Linked DNA regions of Astyanax mexicanus. The main gene of each other region encodes a partner of the protein of the gene in region 3 in a complex. Links are inferred from orthologs where the notes say so. Each region holds a gene or a part of one and is shown on either strand. Other genes may lie near its edges.

The links.
Region 1: ndnl2 (region 3) and nsmce2 share a complex: the UniProt entries of both Homo sapiens proteins name them as parts of the SMC5-SMC6 complex. The link is inferred for Astyanax mexicanus from reciprocal best matches to the Homo sapiens genes NSMCE3 and NSMCE2.
Region 2: ndnl2 (region 3) and nsmce4a share a complex: the UniProt entries of both Homo sapiens proteins name them as parts of the SMC5-SMC6 complex. The link is inferred for Astyanax mexicanus from reciprocal best matches to the Homo sapiens genes NSMCE3 and NSMCE4A.

The regions. Positions count from the first base shown.
Region 1 is NC_064413.1:4,744,491-4,751,448, forward strand, and holds the start of nsmce2 (E3 SUMO-protein ligase NSE2), read right to left. Parts: upstream 3,065-6,958; 5' UTR 2,717-3,064; coding exon 2,602-2,716; intron 1,866-2,601; coding exon 1,753-1,865; intron 1,664-1,752; coding exon 1,516-1,663; intron 842-1,515; coding exon 747-841; intron 246-746; coding exon 139-245; intron 1-138. Other genes in the region: derl1 (derlin-1), read left to right, coding at 4,086-4,238. UniProt on the Homo sapiens protein: E3 SUMO-protein ligase component of the SMC5-SMC6 complex, a complex involved in DNA double-strand break repair by homologous recombination. Is not be required for the stability of the complex.
Region 2 is NC_064414.1:35,024,406-35,031,467, forward strand, and holds the start of nsmce4a (non-structural maintenance of chromosomes element 4 homolog A), read right to left. Parts: upstream 3,065-7,062; 5' UTR 2,804-3,064; intron 1,076-2,803; exon of another isoform or gene 1,040-1,075; 5' UTR 1,017-1,039; coding exon 800-1,016; intron 671-799; coding exon 590-670; intron 461-589; coding exon 330-460; intron 227-329; coding exon 84-226; intron 1-83. UniProt on the Homo sapiens protein: Component of the SMC5-SMC6 complex, a complex involved in DNA double-strand breaks by homologous recombination. The complex may promote sister chromatid homologous recombination by recruiting the SMC1-SMC3 cohesin complex to double-strand breaks.
Region 3 is NC_064420.1:45,881,206-45,889,195, forward strand, and holds the start of ndnl2 (necdin-like 2), read right to left. Parts: upstream 3,072-7,990; 5' UTR 2,739-3,071; coding exon 2,685-2,738; intron 1,293-2,684; coding exon 1,173-1,292; intron 1-1,172. UniProt on the Homo sapiens protein: Component of the SMC5-SMC6 complex, a complex involved in repair of DNA double-strand breaks by homologous recombination. The complex may promote sister chromatid homologous recombination by recruiting the SMC1-SMC3 cohesin complex to double-strand breaks.

The DNA of each region.
Region 1 (6,958 bases), on a different chromosome or scaffold from region 3:
GGGCAGTTAGTGGCTAATGCTAATGCTGCTGCACCCAGCCTTAGTGCAGAAGAAACTTCTCTGAAAACTCACCCTTAGACAAAATATTGGATATCTAAGTGAAATGTGCAGAAATGCACACAGCTGAAAGCAGCTTACCGGAACTTCTTCTTGTTGTTGTGTCTGGTCTTGATCATGGTCAGTGCAGCTTCTTGGTCGTAGTAATGTTGGCACTTCTTGTTTCGTACTGGATTTACCATCTCAACCTGTGAATGATGAGGTCAAACCACTCAAATTTTTATAAAAGTAATACATAATATGCACTCACACCATGAAATGTTCCTGAATTTACTTAAATTACGTAATAAACAGACTTTGATTAAACCTTTGCATCCAACCACAGAGCTTAAACAAGATGCATTTATGGAAAATAAAAAAGAAATATGACCAAATTAACTAGGAAAAATAATGTGATTAATGCTAATACATTATTTTATCATTTAAAACCCCAGTAGTTGCGCAAAACACCCAAGAAAAAAAAAAAAGTATTTTGTTAAACTGCCATTTTTTTTAATCGCTGTGATTGAAGCACGCATTCACTGTGGCATTATTTCAATAAGCTTTATTAGTATTATTAATAATGTTAAAATGCTGTGGTATTGTTTCAGTATTGTTATTGAGATATTTAGGCAGGTATCATATCCAAAGTCAAAATGTTGGATTTTGAGACAACACTATTAATGTATCTGTTAAAAGCAAAAGTTTACCTGGGTAAGAGGACATGTGAAGTTTGTCTGGCTCTGTGTAACAGCAATGTCTTCATCCAGCTCCTCTTCAACATGGGCAGCCGCTGATTGGTTCACTAAAAAAACACACATGAGAACTGTTTAATTACCTTTTTATCTCAAACAACTGCTACCTAAATGAATCCGATTAATACAATAGTATAATAGTACAATAATACACTGCTGGCTAAACAAAAAAGTGGTATTAAGAAACTGGGTACCACTTTAAAATAAGACTACCTTCATAAAGGGTTTATAAATGGTTTACTATTCGTTTATTAATGGTTACTAATTAGGTTGAAAATGCCTTAAAAATCATTAATAATCAGTTATAACACATATACGTAGAAAAGGCAACAATACAGATGGCTGTGTAATATAGTTCACTATTTGGCAAACAACAGGTCACTGTCCTTTCTCTGTATGTGTTATAACTGATTATTAATGATTTTTAAAGCATTTACAACCTACTTAGTAACCATTAATAAACTAATTGTAAACCATTTATAAACCCTTTATAAAGGTAGTCTTATTTTAAAGTGGTACCAGAAACTGAAACCAGGTAGATGGGAATCATTAAAAACAAATAGTTGATTTTTAGTAACACTGTCATTTTGATTGTAGCTATTCTACCAATAAATGAAAGAGGAAGAGTTTTCCTACGACAGAGATCATCATTTATTGTTTTGAGTTTAATGAGTTGAAATCGCTGTACTGTGTTTGAGACAGGAAGAGACAGTGTGTACGATACCTTGTGCCAAAGATTTCCTGATGTTGTCTCTGAAAGCCACTACTTTGCTGTGTCTCTGAACGTCTGAATCCCTGTCCTTTAGTTCAGCAAAGCGATTCTTTACAGAGTTTAACAGCGAGAACATGGCCTGTGGAGGTTCTCGTCTCACCTGCAGACACAGGAGAAAATACAAGATGAATTAGAGGGATAGAAAAAAGTATATTAGAATTAGAATTGAAACGATCTAAAATTACTAACATGAGCTGTCGTCTGCTCAACAGATTCCACAAAACAGTTTATCTCTCTGTCCAGAGCAGCGCATTCTAACATCATCTGCTCCAATTTTCTTAAACTCGGACTGTCATCAGTGCCTGGAATAAAACAAATAAAAAGAATCATAGCAACACAGCATCTGAATCTACACACACTCTCAACAATTACAAGAAACATCAAGCATGTTTACAGTGCTGTAAACCATAAAGCTTCGCATTAAACCAGTAACTCGGTTAATCAAATTACTTTAGTAATAAACTCAGTATATGATGAGAAAAAAACGTACGGAATGGCATTATTAAAGTCGTAATATTTCGAGATTAAAGTCTTGATATTACGACTTTAACCTCATAACATTACAACTTTCATCTCCCAATATTACGACTAAACTCAGAATATTACGACTTAAATCTTGTAATATTACGGCTTTATTCTCGCAATAATTAACCTTACTTTAAGAAATTAAGGTCAGTCAATCTGAAACATTTCAAGAGCTCTTAAAGTATCCTCAAGTGCAGTCACCACAAAGACCATCAAAAACGTTATGATAAAACTGGCTCTCATCAGTAACGCCCCAGAAAAGGAAGAGCAAGAGTTACCTCTGTTGCACAGGAAAGTTCCAGTCACAGATAAGTGGGACCAAAATAGGTTTTATGGTTTGTTTAACACTTTTTACTCGTTTACTACACGACGTGTTCCTTTATAGTCTAAAATACTTTAACATTTATTTACAATGTAGGAAATATATAACTGTATGTATAAAAGGCTGTATTTGATTAAAGATTAGTTAGTTAATTAGTTAAGGTTAGATTTAGGTAAATAGCTGTACTGTACCTTGGGCTTCCACCAGATCCAGAGCGACATCTGACACGATGTCCATCCCTGTCCCAATATCCACCTGACATGTCTTCAGACTGGACAGCGCGGGCTGAACTGAACTCAACGACATAATTTAACGCTAACTGTTACCTCTGTGATTTCCGGCTACAGCGGACTGGTTAAGAAACTGAATTAATCGGAAAGTAAACCGGTTTGACCTGCGAGTGGGTAAAGCGTGTTTACAAGTTAGCTAGTTAGTTAGTTAGCATGTTAAGCTAACCGTAGTTAGATAATTTATCCGAAACAACCGGGTTCAGCCAACAAAACAAGCGTACACACACGTAGCTAAATATAGTATAATAGTGTTAAAGTTGTTAAAAGGTTTATAAAAACTAGCCCGACACAAATAACCAGTTTATTTTACTTCAGATAGCGACTCAAAAACAAATCAGGCTCCTGCAGCCCGCCTCAACTACTGCGAGTGACGTGAAGACAAAATAAAAGTCCCCCCCACTCTCTCTCTCTCTCTCTCTCTCTCTCTCGCTCTTTCTTTTTTTCTTTCTTTCTCTTTCTTCTCGCTCTACAAATATACAGTACCAGTCAAAGATTTTTTTCCTACTATGAAATAACACATAATGAATCGTGTAATTAAACCAACTAAAAATACTCTGAGAAGCACTTAGGCGGGCTCAACTAACAAACACTATTTAAAAAACAGTTTACTTCGATAATAAACTAGTAATATGACGAGAGAAAAAGACGTATGGAATGACATTATGAGATGGCATTAAAGTCTTAATAAACGTGTAATATTACAACATTATTCTCGTAATGTCACACCTTTATTCCTGTAATATTATGATAATATTTTTACTTTAATTTCGTAATGTGACTTAAATCTTGTAACGTTATGAAATTAAACTTGTAATGTCATGACTTTAATCTCGTAATATTACGACTTTATCCTCGTAATATTACAACTTTAATCTCATAATGTTATGACTTGAATATTGTAATATTATGCCTTTAATATCGTAATGTTATGACTTTAATCTCATAATGTAATGACTTTAATCTCGTAATGTAATGACTTTAATCTCATAATGTTTTGACTAATCTCGTAATGTTACGACTTTAATCTTGCATCATTTGTTAACCCTTTTTAAAGTTTATTACATTATTCCTCATGTGTTCTTTCGCGGTCTCGGGGCTTTTATTTTGACATGCACGCGCAGGAGACGCGGACAAATCGCAGCAAGAACCGTCATTTGGCGTCGCGGCCGCAGCCTATCGACTCCTGCGGGGCCACGTCATGTAAACGGAGTAAAAGCGCGTCCGACCGACACTCAACCAAAATAGAAGCAGCCGAACCGGGTTCACCCCGATCCGCCGCGATCCGCCGCGATCCGCAGAGCCGCAGCGCCGCGCTCAGGGCCCGGTGTAGCCGCAGGTTAGAGTACAGAGGAGCGGGGCTGAGGGCTCCGCAGCGCCGAGGAGAGATGTCAGATATCGGGGACTGGTTTAAGAGCGTCCCGTTCATCACCCGGTACTGGTTCGCGGGCTCGATCGCGGTTCCGCTGATCGGGAAGCTGGGGCTGATCAGCCCGGTGTTCCTCGTGCTGTGGCCGGAGGCTTTCTTCCACAAGTTCCAGGTGAGAGCCGGGGCCGCTGGGAGAGGAGGTTGAGGGTTAGGGAGGCCTAGGCCTCGGTCTTAATGAGAGAGGTGCGAGATAGCTAATTATTATTAGCTGTGAACCAGCGATCCAGTGTTATGTCGATTTGGGCTGTGTTGTCAAAACCTGCTACCACAGGTCTGTATTTATAGATCATTTTTATTTTATTTTTTTCCCCACAAAAAATATAGCATGTAGGTTTTGATAAATAACATTACAACAACAATGCAAGTATAATTCATTATTATCATATTACAATGAATATTACTGCTTTTCATCCTATTTTATTACTATTATGTCAGTGGCATATAATGATTTTAAAATTACAATAATATATTTTTTCGCATTTATTTCTAGGACAAAATAACGTCCACAAAAAAATGACAGGGCTACAGTAAATAGCAAAACAGACTTCTTTCATGAATATCACTGTCACGATATAGATTTTTTTTTTTATAATGAATTGTTTGTGATATTATTGCGTACGTTATGACATGGCACGCCCCTATTAGGTAGGATAAAAACGTCATATCAAAAATGCTTTTGAGTAAACGTGCAGGACAGATTTGTAATTAGTCATTTATTCATTTATTTATCAGGGAAAATCTAAGGCAATTAGCTCATATGATAATTTTGTATATATTGTTTTATAAGAATTTCTAATTACACTTTTGTAACACCAAGTAATTACATTTCATTTTGAATTCTGCGCTGCACCTAGTCAAAATGCAATTATGTGGATTGTGATTTGCTAGCACTTAGTGCTTTTAGCAGCTAATGCTAATACTGCTCCAGCCTCAGTGCTGGAGAAACTTCACTTAAACTCCTGTTTAACGCTGTACTTTACTGCTCCTTAATACCTGACTGATAGAATTCATTCATAAGATGCACTGGATTATAAGACACACTGATGGTTTCTTGGAAAATTAAATGATTTTAAGTGCACCTTTTTGTGTGAAAAATATAGTAATTATACAGAATTGTGTGTGAGTGCATGTGCAGAGCCGCTAAGTCACAGGGTAACATATCACACATATCACTGGGTAAGCAGGGCTCTTGGTTTGAGAGGCAAATGATGTGCGTGCCTGTTCAAGCATGGGTGCACGTGTGAAAGCGAGACATTTTTTTTTGTGTGTATTTTTTTTTTTTTTTTTTTTTTTTTTTAACTAAAATTTTGAGTGAATTATTTTTTTTCGTGAATTAATTAGATTTTTAAATAGCTAGATAAAATATTGGGGGGATTTATGTGTAGTACAACAACAAAGAAGGAACAAAATATAAACAAAAAAGCAAAAATTTTATTCTTAACCTACAAAGAACCCAGATCCACATTTGAATATTGATACTATTTTAAAAATCAAATCAGATAAATTCAGTAAGCAGCTCATTTTTTTTTATTCTGAACACATGACTGTAAACATTTTATCAAGTTAAATCCTGATATAATAAATATCACAAAAAATGTATGTCTTGTATTTTACTTTTTTTTCCTAGGTGTTTGTAAAACATTTAATTAAAGCATTTGAATGGTTAAAATGGTTGGAACAGGCCTGTCACAATAAAACATTTTTATGGACAATATATTATCCCAGAAATTAGCATTAAATGCTACTGACATAATGATAGTAAAATAGCACAACAAAGCAGTTGTACCCTTTTAAATACAACATTTAAATGAATCATAGTTTGGGAAATATATGGTTTTTTTTTTTCTGTTTTTTTTCTTTTGCAGTTGTTGAAGCATTGGTCTGGTATTGCATGACTGGCTAAAATACTGTTTAAATATATGTTTTATATATAAACAACCATACAAATAAACACAATATGTGATGATATCACGATTATTACATGTCATTAAGGTCATATATGTTTATTGTGTGATAAGTTGAAAACATTTAATTTTTCATGACAGGCCTATGTGGAATTTTTTTTTTTTTTTTTTTAAAGGAGCTTTAGTGGTTTTATCTCTATTTAAAGCACTTCTACTTTCTGTAAATAAATAAGGCGAGATGAGTGAACACAGATTCACACACTGTCCTGTAGTGATGCTCTCAGGATGTTTAGTATGTATCACTTAAGGAAATTAATGTGAGCTAAAGTGAAGAACAAAGTGCTCTAAGTAAATTTATACATCTTTTAAAAGGCTCTGTGACATGGGCTCTTTTGAGTTATAATATTCCATACCACCTTAAACAATGCAGCAGGTAAGTACTGCACCATTTAAGGTGGAATGGTTATTTAAAATATGAAGTCCACCAGAGGGCGCCGAACACATTGACTGTGTGAAACACGTGGGTCACTGTGTGTTTAAATGGAATATAGGCTCAGTTTATTAGAGGTGGGCGATAAGACTATAGTATCATAATGCACAATAAGATTTTTAATACAACATGAGTAATCAATCAACTAATCCTGTGTAATTAATTGGAGTACATTAAATTCTGAATAAAAAATAAATTTTAAGTGTAAGCATTAACGCTGCCTTCGCTTTCATGTCAGAGGTTTGCTCGTATGACTCTGGAGCTCATAGTAGAGGTTCTTAAAGGGGCCACAATATTCATTTAGGGGCCAAATATATTTTCACCAGTCACACCATGTTTAAAAATGTTAATGTATTTTAAAAACACATACACTGTAGTTCCAGATGTGCCAGATGTTTTACACAAAAAAATAAAATCTGCTATTTTAACCCTTTTAAA
Region 2 (7,062 bases), on a different chromosome or scaffold from region 3:
AATAAAATATAGAAAATAGTTCAAATAAACAAACCAAAAAAGTCCATAAATGAAATTCTTATCACATGTTTTATTATACATACAAGTAATGGAATGACGGCGCTGTTTTAAAACAATGTTCTGCCCTTTTGGAAAGTTTCTGCCAGGCATCTGGAGGCAAATATCCATCTAAGCCTTCTTGATCATCCTCCTCTTCTTCCAAGCGATTAAGACCCATGAAGGACAACTATTTAAAAAAAAGTTAAATTTATACACTGAATTTCCATGTTTGGAAAACAGCCATGTGCTTTAGAATATTATTTCGATCATCCTGGTATGCAGTGGCTCACCAAATGCTCTGCAAATGCAGAAGGGTCAAAAGACGATCCCTCTGCATGGAGCTGGCTGGCTTTTTCCCTTCCCAGGTCTGTGGCAAGAACCAGCAGCTGAGCATCCAAAGCAGCTTCTCGAGCTTGCCTGACTGAAAAGGAAACATACAAAAAAAATCAATACATTTACACACAAATAAAAGTCAGTTATGTCATAAACCTGCCGTCACAATATGTAGAACACACGGTTGGTCAATATAAAAAAAAAAATACGTATTTACCATTAGCAAACAGTTTGTTGGCTTCTTCTAACACATCAATCAGCTTATTGTTGGCAGGGTTCAACATGTCCTCACGATTTTCTGGGAACAACAGTCAGGCATGTTAGTACAAATGACTCAGACTAGATACACAGAAGTGTAAAAGTAGCAGCAAGTTGGCAACACTAAAAAGCACAGCTGTGTAGAAAAAAACACAATTGAGGTGCTCACGCTGGACAGAGTTGATGAGGTCCCTGTACTGGCTTCTGATCTCCCTCCGACGGGCCGGGTCATCATCTTCCTCATGGATCCCTGATGGACCAGCACCCTCATCCTCATCACCCGTGTCTGCTGCTCTCTCGGACCTGCTGCGTCCTCCTACTCCATTGGTATGTGCAGCAGACTCCTCCTGACTTCCTCTGCTCACTCTCCGCCTTGACTCAGACATCTCCCGACAGAGCGGTAGCGGTTCTGTATGTAATAACGGTGGTCAGATTCTTCAGTTGCCTAAATGAATGAACCAAAATAAATTCAATTAGCCTGCGTTTACATTACAAGCCACAAATCCTCCAATCCGATTTGCTCAGATGGGATTTGGCTATCTTGACGGTCCACATTCACAATTGTAAGTGACCTGTATCTGTGTGTAATCTGTGAACTAATCGGTCCCTCAAACGCCTCACATGCGCACATTGATACATATACAAATGTCGCATTCTTCACTAACAACAAAAAATTCATAATTGGAAGACAAATTGTTGCTTTATAAAGGTGAAATTTATGTGTTAGCTGCTTATAAGTGGAGGAAAAAAAACAGATCTGAGTCATATTGAGCAAAAAAAAATGATTTGAGTCACTTCAGCCTGGTAATGTGAATGAAGCCTAATTTAACAAATAGCACATTTAGACAACTCTCTCTAACTTAAGTTAAATGAACTAAATGTCATTCACTAAATTTAAAATAAATAATTCTAATAGTTCTAATGTTTCAGAAGCTATTCTGAGATCTTATGAGTTATAAATTGTTGTTGTTTCATTTAAACCTTCTGTTATGTTCATTTGCCAGGGACAGCAATGGTGTTCCCAGGTCAATTTGACCCGGTGCATGCATGTTTAATTATCCAAAAGATGTCGGAAAACTCCTAACAAGCAGTGTACATATTTAATTACTAACTCTATTACTAATTATTCTATCAATATTTAGTGCCTCTATCAGGTAATGGTTTACTTAGGATAATTCACTCGTTTTTTTTTTTTTTAAGTTTCACTTTTGAAAGACCAACATATACAATTCATAGTTTTACATAACACTGAAACATTACACTTCAATTTTGTTTTAGTTTTTGGTTTTTGCAGGGGGTGGTTGCAAATGTGAGAGATGAATCATTTTCATATTAACTTTTATGTTGAATACACTAATTATAGCAAGCAGAAAAAGTTTCATACTAAAAAATACTTTTAACTAGGGGTGGGTGATATGGCTCTAAAATAATATAATGATATTTCACAGTATTTCTGTGATAACTATACTCTTGGCGATATGACAAAACATCGAAATACAAAAAAATTATTTTCAAAATTATACTACTGCAACAAAATTAAAATTACATTTTATTATTGCATACGATATGACTTGGCACACCCCTAACTGAGATATTTAAAAATACAAGAATTTTATCAGATTTGTAACAGAAGTCAATGATCCACAATGTCATGATACTAACAATAATGCACTCCAGATATCTCCATATTTCCAGGATTAAAGTTAAATAAATGATATTGGACAGATATAATCTGTCTCTAGTAGATCTATAATGGGAAACTATATATTTTTGGAATGTCACAATATTCGAAAAATGTCTGCGGTATTATTGCGTACGACACGATATCGCACACCCCTACTTGTAACTATTTTTTCTAGATCTTCAAACTTTAAAACGGGTCTATTTGACCCGTAGCATAACAGAAGGGTTAACGCTGTGTTACATCAAGTATTTTACCTTAAAATATTAGTTAGCTAGCTAACCGTCATGTTCCCACAATAATAATAAAAAAAAACATAAATGAGCTGATCATGTATAAATTTATCTAAATCAATTTTAAATGTGGCATCAATATTCAGAAATAGCTGTGGGATAAATGGTTAGCAGTTAACAGCCTTCACAATTAAAGAGCATTTAGAACAGTAGTTAAATAGCTAGTTGTTAGCTGTTTAGCTAGCTGGCGATACATTACCCGCTGCTGCTGTTATTAGTGAGCTGAACTGGTGCCGCAGAGATTCTGCAGCTCCCGCGCGGCTAGTTAACACTAGCGCTTCACTAGTGACTCAGACACCACTAAACACATCTGGAAACACATATCGCTAACATTAAATCCATCTACTTTTTAAGATTATAGTTAATAAACAGCTATAAAGTGAGGCTGCTTCCAGAATCCAGCTCTAAGCACTGAGCTAGTTGTGTCTTCGCGGTAAAATAAACACGGAAGTCGGTTTCGTTCCGGGTTTCGTGCAGCGTTCAAGACCCTCTGGAGTTTGTTTCAGAATGTTTACCAAATGTATTATACTAATTCTCTTTGAATCCCTTTATTTATTTATTTATTTAATTATTTATTTATTGTTTTATTTTCGCGTATTTTTTGTTGTTGGATATATTACAACAATATAAATCTTACTTATGTGCTTTTTATAAATGTATATAAGTTATATAGAGAGAGCATGTTTCCACGAGGCTGAAGTTGGTTTGATATTCGCAGCTCCAGATTCGTTTGGCTCGATATTCGCAGCCTCGTATTCCCCGGCTGAAGTTGGTTTGATATTCGCAGCTGCCGCTTCACTGAACCACCGTGAACTAAAGGGAGCGTTCACAAACACCCGCTGTTTATATTAAACACCTCACAGATCAACACTGAAGGAGATAGAATGAAGAAAAGCAGTACATCTGTTTATTAACAATGTAAATATACAATATATTATTAAATATAATTTTGTATATTGTAAAATATTTATTTTAATTACTGAATTTATAATTATATATTACAATAAATAATTAAATATATGATTAATAAAATTATATTTTAAAAGCCATTGCGCTCAAAAAATATGAGGCAGATGTTCAAGTGTGATTTTGAAGAACTTTTTCATGTTGGGCCAGACCAAATACACATGATCTGAAGAGTACTAGTCTTCTACTTTAAGGAAAACCTGGAAGTAGCCTGGCCCGAGCTGATTTTATACTTTAAAATGAACTGGCAACATAGCATACCGATCCATAATGCACAATTTTTTTTATGAAAAGCTGATGTTCCAGTGTGATTTTGAAGGACTTTTTAACCTTGGGCCAGACCAAATACACATGATCTGAAGAGTACTAGTCTTCTTCTTTAAGGAAAACCTGGAAGTAGCCTGGCCCGAGCTGATTTTATACTTTAAAATGAACTGGCAAACTTTGAAAGACTTTTTCATCTTGGGCCAGAACACATACACATCAGATGAAGAGAACTACTCTCCCACTTTGAGGAAAACCTGGAATTAGCCTGGCCCGAGCTGATTTTATACTTTAAAATGAACTGGCAACATAGCATACCAATCCATAATGCACAATTTTTTTTATGTAAAGCTGATGTTCTAGTGTGATTTTGAAGGACTTTTTCATCTTGGGCCAGACCAAATACACATGATCTGAAGAGTACTAGTCTTCTACTTTAAGAAAAACCTGGAAATAGCCTGGCCCAAGCTGATTTTATACTTTAAAATGAACTGGCAACCTGGAATACCGATGCATAAAGCACAATTTTTTATGTAAAGCTGATGTTCCAGTGTGATTTTGAAGGACTTTTTCATCTTGGGCCAGACCAAATACACATGATCTGAAGAGTACTAGTCTTCTACTTTAAGAAAAACCTGGAATTAGCCTGGCCCAAGCTGATTTTATACTTTAAAATGAACTGGCAACATGTAATAACGATCCATAATGCACAAAGAAATTGAATATAAAGCTGATGTTCTAGTGTGATTTTGAAGGACTTTTTAATCTTGGGCCAGAACAAATACACATGATCTGAAGAGAACTAGTCTTCTACTTTAAGGAAAACCTGGAATTAGCCTGGCCCGAGCTGATTTTATACTTTAAAATGAACTGGCAACATAGCATACCGATCCATAATGCACAATTTTTTTTATGTAAAGCTGATGTTCCAGTGTGATTTTGAAGGACTTTTTCATATTGGGCCAGACCAAATACACATTATCTAAAGAGTACTAGTCTTCTACTTTAGGGAAAGCCTGGAATTAGCCTGGCCCAAGCTGATTTTATACTTTAAAATTAACTGGCAACATGGCCTACCGATCCATAATGCACAAAAAAATTGAATACAAAGCTGATGTTCTAGTGTGATTTTGAAGGACTTTTTAATCTTGGGCCAGACCAAATACACATGATCTGAAGAGTACTAGTCTTCTACTTTAAGGAAAGCCTGGAATTAGCCTGGCCCAAGCTGATTTTATACTTTAAAATTAACTGGCAACATGGCCTACCGATCCATAATGCACAAAAAAATTGAATATAAAGCTGATGTTCTAGTGTGATTTTGAAGGACTTTTTAATCTTGGGCCAGACCAAATACACATGATCTAAAGAGTACTAGTCTTCTACTTTAAGGAAAACCTGGAAATAGCCTAGCCCAAGCTGATTTTATACTTTAAAATGAACTGGCAACATGGAAAACAGATCCATATGCACAAAAAAATTGAATATAAAGCTGATGTTCTAGTGTGATTTTGAAGGACTTTTTAATCTTGGGCCAGACCAAATACACATGATCTGAAGAGTACTAGTCTTCTACTTTAAGGAAAACCTGGAATTAGCCTGGCCCGAGCTGATTTTATACTTTAAAATGAACTGGCAACATAGCATACCAATCCATAATGCACAATTTTTTTATGTAAAGCTGATGTTCTAGTGTGATTTTGAAGGACTTTTTAATCTTGGGCCAGACCAAATACACATGATCTGAAGAGTACTAGTCTTCTTCTTTAAGGAAAACCTGGAATTAGCCTGGCCCGAGCTGATTTTATACTTAAAAATGAACTGGCAACATGGAATAACGATCCATAATGCACAAAAAAATTGAATATAAAGCTGATGTTCTAGTGTGATTTTGAAGGACTTTTTAATCTTGGGCCAGACCAAATACACATGATCTAAAGAGTACTAGTCTTCTACTTTAAGGAAAACCTGGAATTAGCCTGGCCCAAGCTGATTTTATACTTTAAAATTAACTGGCAACATGGCCTACCGATCCATAATGCACAAAAAAATTTAATATAAAGCTATTGTTCTAGTGTGATTTTGAAGGACTTTTTAATCTTGGGCCAGACCAAATACACATGATCTAAAGAGTACTAGTCTTCTACTTTAAGGAAAACCTGGAAATAGCCTGGCCCAAGCTGATTTTATACTTTAAAATGAACTGGCAACATAGCATACCAATCCATTATGCACAATTTTTTTTATGTAAAGCTGATGTTCTAGTGTGATTTTGAAGGACTTTTTAATCTTGGGCCAGACCAAATACACATGATCTGAAGAGTACTAGTCTTCTTCTTTAAGGAAAACCTGGAATTAGCCTGGCCCGAGCTGATTTTATACTTTAAAATGAACTGGCAACATAGCATACCAATCCATAATGCACAATTTTTTTATGTAAAGCTGATGTTCTAGTGTGATTTTGAAGGACTTTTTAATCTTGGGCCAGACCAAATACACATGATCTGAAGAGTACTAGTCTTCTTCTTTAAGGAAAACCTGGAATTAGCCTGGCCCGAGCTGATTTTATACTTAAAAATGAACTGGCAACATGGAATAACGATCCATAATGCACAAAAAAATTGAATATAAAGCTGATGTTCTAGTGTGATTTTGAAGGACTTTTTAATCTTGGGCCAGACCAAATACACATGATCTGAAGAGTACTAGTCTTCTACTTTAAGGAAAACCTGGAATTAGCCTGGCCCGAGCTGATTTTATACTTTAAAATGAACTGGCAACATAGCATACCAATCCATAATGCACAATTTTTTTATGTAAAGCTGATGTTCCAGTGTGATTTTGAAGGACTCTTCAGATCATGTGTATTTGGTCTGGCCCAAGATTAAAGAGTACTAGTCTTCTACTTTAAGGAAAACCTGGAATTAGCCTGGCCCAAGCTGATTTTATACTTTAAAATGAACTGGCAACATGGAATACCGATCCACAATGCACAATGTTTTATGTAAAGCTGATGTTCTAGTGTGATTTTGAAGGACTTTTTAATCTTGGGTCAGACCAAATACACATGATCTAAAGAGTACTAGTCTTCTACTTTAAGGAAAGCCTGGAAATAGCCTGGCCCGAGCTGATTTTATCCTTTAAAATGAATTGGCAACATGACATGAAAGCCATTTTGCACAGAAATAATGAATATAAAGCATTGATTTTGAGAATACTAGAACTCTT
Region 3 (7,990 bases):
ATATACGGCAGCATTGACAGTCTTCTTGAGGAAGCAGAGTTTCCCCTACACCTCGAGCGGACATGCATCCCCAGACCATAACGCTCTGGGGAAACTTGACGGATCTTTTCACGCACTCGTGGTTGTAGGTTTTGCCACCACGACGCCAGACACGAGGACCTTGGTCACCGAAGGAGATGCAGAAGCGTGATTCGTCACTGAAGACCACTTTCTGACAGTCTTCAGCAGTCCACTCGCCGTGTTCTTTGGCCCACTTCAGCCGTTTCTCCATTTGTTTCTTGTTCAGCATCGGTTTTACTGCTGGAACGCGAGATTTGAAGCCGAGTTCGCGCAGACGACGGTAAGTGGTTGATCTGGAGACGTCAGCGCCGGTCTGCTTGTTCCACAAGTCGGTGAGCTCGGAAGTGGACTTGAACCGGCTGCTTGTTGTCGCGAGCAGAAGTTTTTCGGACGCCGGAACAGTTGATGCGCTTGCTGCAGTTTTTCTTGAGAGCTTTGCAGACGGAAGACTGGCTGATGCCGAGCTGCTCAGCAATTTTAGTTTGGGTCAAGCCTTGTTGGCGAAGGGCTTGAATTTGAGCCACTATTCCTGTAGAGAGGTCGCGCTGCTTACCCATGATTGATTTTACAACTTAGAAATTCTACTCAACCCTGACTTTATACTGCACAGTGAACACTCTTCACAGAAAACAAAAATTCGAGCATTTATTCTAATTCAATTAAACAGTTTCTCCATTATTCTAATTCAATAAAACAACAGTGTCACAGTTAAATGGCCTAAATGGGCCTTTTGGAAAGCTCAGCTGAGCAATTTTTTTTCCAGGTAACGAGTTCTGTGATTAGTCTAACGAGTAGGACAGGTGCGGTGAACACCTGATTTGCTTTCTGCACAAAAAATGCATTCAAAGAATTTCATTTCATTTCATTTTCATTTCAGTTTTGCACTATTTAGAATTATTCTAATTCGTTCACCAGCACCTGTAAAGACACTAGAAAACACAGAACATTTATTAATGATGGTGCTGTAACTACATGCAATAGTCCTTCGTTCACACAAAGTGTACTGAACAGAGAAGAGACCGAACCATAATCCCATCCCATAATAAGCTCACATTAAAAAAAAAAAAAACACACTATGTGTATGTGTTTTGAATTTAATTAGACTGAGTTACCTTACGATCGACCTGGACAGGTGTGTAATTCTCCCTGGCCTTCTGGACCTGTGATGATGTTGGCTGTGTGTAGGATGCATCACCATCATCATCCTCGTCCAGTACCACCTGCTGCGAGCGCTGTGAAGATTTAAAGACATGCAGAACAGACATTGCAATCATAAATATTATAAGTTATAAATGTGTAAGTTGGATATCAGCACTGGCCCAGAATTCCCACATTGGAGACTCCCTGGAATATATGGAATATAAAGATGCAGTGCAGTAAAGAACACTGTTTAAAAAACACTTTTATTGTGGTAATTTCTGCCTCTGCAGCGTCCTCTCAGGTTAAACTGTGCTATAGGAGTGGATGATGCTAAAGGTGCCCCGCTTCTAAACCCATACATCACCCAGTGCCCTTCCCAAACTACACCTCTCATTGTTTAGCCTTTTTCAAATTTGATCTGAGAGTGAAGTCAGGGGGTTTAGCACCTCTTTAAACTAAAATCTTGTTAAGAAAATGATAATAGCTGATGATCGAATGTCATGATAAATTACGGTACTTTTACTTTTTTAAAACTTTAGTACACTTGAAGGCAAGCAGTTACTGATGTACTTTTACTCAAGAGGAGGTCTAAAGGGAAGACTTTTGTTTTTACTGAAATAATATTTTCTATCTTATATCGTCAGTAACTCTTCTTTAACTCAACCTATAATAACTAACTACAAGGTTTGGGTACTTTGTCCAACACTCAATAAAAAATAAACTAGGTCAAATGTAAAATAAATAATTGAACAAAAAATACTCAAAGGGTAAAAATGCATCAGTGTTTTATGTACAGAGCACACATCAGTTATATAACCTTGTTAAAAACTTGTTAGTTAACAAATTAAAATGCCAGCATTTTTTTTTCAGTTTTTGCCTGATATCACACCCCTATATCTTAAGGATTTCTATACAAACATTACATAAAAAGGTTTCATGTTTAATAAAAAACATTAATTATTTTTTTCAATATATACTATATTTATATATAAAATATATTTTAACAAATTTAAATCTGCAATTGTCAAAATATAGTGAATAAAAATCTGAAAATTGCAGCTTTTCTGAACTTAATTTTAAAATCAATATTTTCCTCAATACATATGAAACCGTTTATATTGCGGCAGTTGTCTAGTTTTTGTGTCTATTTTCAAACAAGTAGAATTTGATATATTATATTATCACACACACACATATATATATATATATATATATATATATATATATATATATATATATATATATATATATACCGTTATATATATCAATTTTTGTTATTAATCTGAAATTACGTGGAATAAATTAGAGAGAAAACAGGCAGCTTCTCCAAGTGACCTGTAGAAGTTTTCAGAATATAAATAACTTGTTATACAGCAGGGTTTTGGGTCAAGACTTGTTAGGGTTAACTAGGTAGCTAATAGTCATTTCTGCCAATAGTTATCAGGTATAAACAGTAGTTAAGTTAAATGTCCAGCTCTGCTTACCCTCGGTACTCTGTTCTGGGAGCCAGCATGCGCCACTCTCTTCCTCTGAGACATTTTTACAGCCCTGATATTACAGAAAATCTCTCTAATTAACTCAAATCACAGTTAAAATCCTCATTCCGGCAGCTCATAACAACACACCGTTAGAAACAGCTAACAGCAGCTAACAGCTAATAATCACACATTTACAGCGTTTAAAGCCGATTTACTCACACAGAGCCCCTCACTATTAGTTCTAAAGAGTGCTACACATAATCAAGAGTGTTTATCGCTTATATAAAACCCTATAAACACTATTTTACTTCATATTTAGGTCTAAAAACGAAGGCACACCGCGCAGTTTGGAACTTCCGTCTGTTTGGTCACGTGGTTGCTAAGCGCGGCATCTGATTGGCTGAATCGCGACGGCGTGTAAGTTAACACACCCGTTTTTAGAACAGTCCCGCGCGAATAATTCCTACCCGTATTTAGGGTGGCCAATCACAAAGCAGGATGGGGGGGGGGGGGGGGGGGCTAGGCGTCTTCCTAAATATTAGTATGTATTTATTTCTTGTTTTATTATTTATATGTAATATATACAGTACTAGTCAAAAGTTTGCACCCACAATCTCAGTCAATGTTTTTTTTTCCCTAATGAGAGCCAGTTCCATCATAGCGTCTTTGCAACTACACTCGATAAAGCTTTAAAAGTATTTTTTCTTTACTTAGTAGCTAAGTAGTGCTTGCTTCTCATAATCTGGATTAGAACTTTACTCAAATATACACTATTCACTGTATACCTGTAAATATACCTCTTCACTACTTTACAACTGATGCTCTCAAACACTTTATTAAGAGACAAGAAATTCAAGTAATTAGCTCTTGATGAGTTCAGCACAGCTGTTAACTGAAAGCCACAGAAAGCCCGGAGACTCTACCTCATAAAGCTGACTGAGAAAATTCAGCTAAAATGAGTAAAACTGTCTATCTAAGCAAGAGGTGCTACTTTTAAGAATGTAAAATGTGAAACATATTCTGGTTTGTTTAACACGTTCTATTTACTAAATAATTCCATGATTTTTTTTTATAGTTCTGATGACCCTAGTATTAATCTACAATGCAGTAGCAAAAATAGTTAACATAATAGTATTGGATGCTTTTTATATATAAATTACGAAATTAAGAGACCATTTTAGTTTCTGAATCAGTTTCTCTGATTTTATTATTTAAAGGTATATGTTTGAGTAAAACATTGTTTTTTTTCCCCAACTTCCTATTATATATTGTCATTTAGAGCATTTATTTGCAGGGAATGAGAAATCGCTGAAATTACAAAAAAGATCCAGAGCTTTCAGACCTCAAATAATGCAAAATAAACAAGTTCATATTTATTAAGTTCTTAAATCAATATTTGGTGGAATAACTCTGGTTTTTAATCACAGTTTTCATGCATCTTGAAATCATGTTCTCCTCCACCAGTCTTACACACTGCTTTTGGATAACTTTATGCCTTTACTCCAGCAGCTCAGCTTGGTTTGATGGCTTGTGATCATCCATTCTTCTCCTGATTATATTTACATTTACTCATTTTACTTGTCGTTGTTATTATGTATTATTATTTTCCAATTATTATTACATTTTCTTTGTAGTAATAGTAGAAATAATAGTATTGTTTGCTTTTTATGCATTTTTCAATCGATGTTTTTTAATGTTTATATTAGTTTTTTGTACTATATATTTTGTACTATACTACTTTGAGGTGTGAAAAGAAAAAAAAATTAATAACACAAATGTACACTCTTATCATTCACATGCAAAACACATGTTAGACAATGAAAACGTAGATTATGTTTCATCTCTTAAATGTTTATAATCCTACGAAACAGTCCTTGATCAGAACCCAACACAACCTTACTCCACATGGTGGCAGTATAGGACTTAGTTTATAGACCCAGACTAGGTCCACTAACAGTGACAGTGAGGCCAATACAACCTACTGAAGTCTGGCCTATTCTCTGGCTAGGCCTCAGTAGGGATTGATATGACGTTGCTTCAGTGTTGCTAAACAGTTGTATTTTATTGTATGTGGTTAATTGTTACTAGTGTGTTTTCATAATTTATAATATCATCTTGGAAATTTAACCTTTTTGCCTAAATTATCTCCTCATGATGCTGCAGGGCCAGCTTTGGTAAAATCCTGCATCCCTAGCTGATCAGATCATTTGATTCTACACCTAATGGCCTATAATGGCCTATGTCTACAGTAAGACTTTAGCTCATTTATTATTTATAATTTAAATATAATGTGACATTCAATTTTAATAGCTTTCCAAAAGTAGACTACCTTCACTGAACTAATTCCACCATTTATGTCTTGTCTCCAATGAATAAGTAATGACATTTTTGTTATAATATACTTCTTACTTCTTAATAATAAAGGCTATCGGCTATAAATATTACATAGTTGGCTCCGATACATTCGCTCACAGATGCCTTGTGCTGATCCACATCACCCTAGTAGTGATGAGTGGAAAAAGCGCCATCTACCTACCCGGAGAGAGCAAGGCCAATTTGTACTCTCTCAGGGCTTCGGCAGCTGATGACAAGCTGCATGACCAGGACCCTAACCAGTCATTGCTCATTTTTAAATAGCCAAGTGTAAGCTCTCACTAACTCTGTTTCTCTCTCTTGCGCACATACTATGTATAGCACTATCCGGACAGGATTAGTTTCTCAGGGGGACGGCTGTTTAAAATATTTCACATTTTTCTACTCAGTGATAAAACTATTGCATCCGGACTTTTTTTTTAATGCTTTTTCAATCACATGACATCGCGTTCAGTAGCTCCTCCATTTCCACTAGTTGTTATGTTTATTTTTAATTACGGTGCGCAGCAGTGGACAAATAGCTATTTTATTAAACGCGAGGTGACGAAACTCTGAGATGTGCATCTGGATAGTACTTAAAATATTGTAGGAAAATATTGTAGTTCTGCCTGTAATATTTTCAGAAACGAATCCAGTCCTCTGAGAAAATTACAGGCTGAATTACATACTGTTTTTCACTAAACTCTGTGGTCCTAGAATATAGAAGCGAGTGGAAATGGAGGAGCTACTGAACGTGATGTGACCGAGAAAACCAAAAAACTTACTGGTCCTCCTGTTTTTTTGTTTTTTTTTGTTGTGGTTGTATTTGCAGCGCGTTTTTCTATTTTTCTATTTTCTATCGTTATAATCGTGTTTACCCGACGTTAGTGATGGTGTTACTAATTATTTCAACATTAGTGTTCTAGGGTTAAGGAAGCAAAGTCTTGCGGTAAAAAAGTGTGATTAGTCGTGATTAATTTGATTATTTTCATACATTTTTTAATCAGTCGACAGAACTAGTATTAACCATAGGGTGCGGGTGTCAGTCAGCCCTGCACATGTGTTGTTTAACTCTCTAATTTTTCAGCTGCTTGAGGAGGAGAAAAAGAAGAAGAATAAAGATAGATGGGCCTAAAAATCCTTTACAAGCGAAGCTGTTTCAGCAGCGGGGAGGTTAATTTCACTCCCCATAAATTACAGCAGTTGAGTTCCTCCCTCCTCCTCCTCCTGTTACTCTCCTCGTGCTGTGTTGTTCCAGTTCCCCCCTCCCTCCCGCCGGCGAGCTGCACACACACAGCTGGGGAAGAGAGAGAGAGAGAGAGAGAGAGAGAGAGAGAGAGAGAGAGAGAGGGATTTGTGTGTGTGAGTGTGTGTTTGTGTGATAGCATTGTGCCAAGGGCAGGGAAGGGCAGGCGGGCCCAGACTGAGTGGCGCCGGCGCACACCTGGGGAAGTTCAGGTTAAATAGCTCCACATTCCTCGGCGCACAGCTGATTGAAACATTAACAAACAGTAATCCGTGAGCCAAGCTGCAGATGGGCCGGGACCACGGCCAAGCAGAGGGGAAAAAAGGCTTGCTGGGCTGTATATAGTGTGTGTGTGTGTGTGTGTCTCTCTCTCTCACTGGCTTAGTGCTTAGTTACACTAGTGCATGCATTTGTTATTATACACACTAATTGAAACACTTGTGGATCATGTGCAGAGAGATGATGTACAGTATCTGCTCAGTGTCTCCTGTGGTTCTTTAAAATCAGAACCATCTGCACTGATTTAATACACAATTAAACAATTTTAGTCCGCTTACATTGTTTTGCATAAGAAAAACTGATAATAAACGAACTTAATAAATTTGTGAATATTAAAAACACTTCTCTCCAAAAAAAAGTGCAACTTTACAGGAGAGAGAAAAAACCTTGTAAACTTTCAGTGGAAGTCAATGTAAGAAGACTTGATTTCAGGTCGTTTTGAAGTGTTTCTATTGGCCCGTTCATCAAGAAATTTTGGCACAGTGGCACAGGGACAGTTTGTCTGTTCAAATTATGTAGTAAACTAAAAACCTACCAAAAAATGGAGATAAGTGTTTTTCATAGGACAGCGACGATTTACTGTAGACATTTTACTCATTCATTCAAAAAGATGCATTTGCTGTTTTTTTTTCCAGCAAGACAATGCAAATCCACATGATTGCACATGATGCACACATTGCAAAAAGCATGGCTATAGAATTAGAAAGTATGAGTATGTGAATTGTCCATTTTAAAACAAGTCCCCATAATGTTGCACACTTGAAGACGTGTTTAAATTGTGAATTGTGATAAATTAAACACTTAATTAAACACTTAAAATTCATTGCTTGATATTATTGGTTTCACTTAAATTTTTTCTAATGAGCTCAACTACAAAACTTTTCACACTAAGTGTGAAGTGTCCAAAAAAGCATGTTTTGGACATTATTAAGGTTGGAAAATAAGTTCCTCACACTAGATTTTTAGCTGTGAAGTACTTTACATTAGAAAGAACCACTTTTATGTAATAAAGTATCCTTTAAATCTATGAGGAAAGTTCTTTATGACATTTTAAAAAATGTCTTCTAAGACATTGCTCAATATTAAACTATAGAAAGCATCTTTATTGCCTTAATAAAACAGGCTTAAATTAATTGGTACATTTGTAGTGAGAACCAGCAATTTAAAGGCCAAAACATTGAACCATTTCAGCTATTTTCTATTAAAAAAACTTGTTTTTTTGGCTCATCAATGACATTTCTATAGTGTTACACTTTTTACATCATTGGTGATGCTGCATGGTAAATGCATTAGTGTTACATTAACATGTTACATATGTCATTTTAGTGTTTATTTGAATCAGTTTCTGTTTAAACTGTGCTTTTTTCTGTTAAAAACGTGGTTCTAACATAAGTCTGGGCTCAATTTTGAATCATTTAAAGCAACTTTTTTTTTA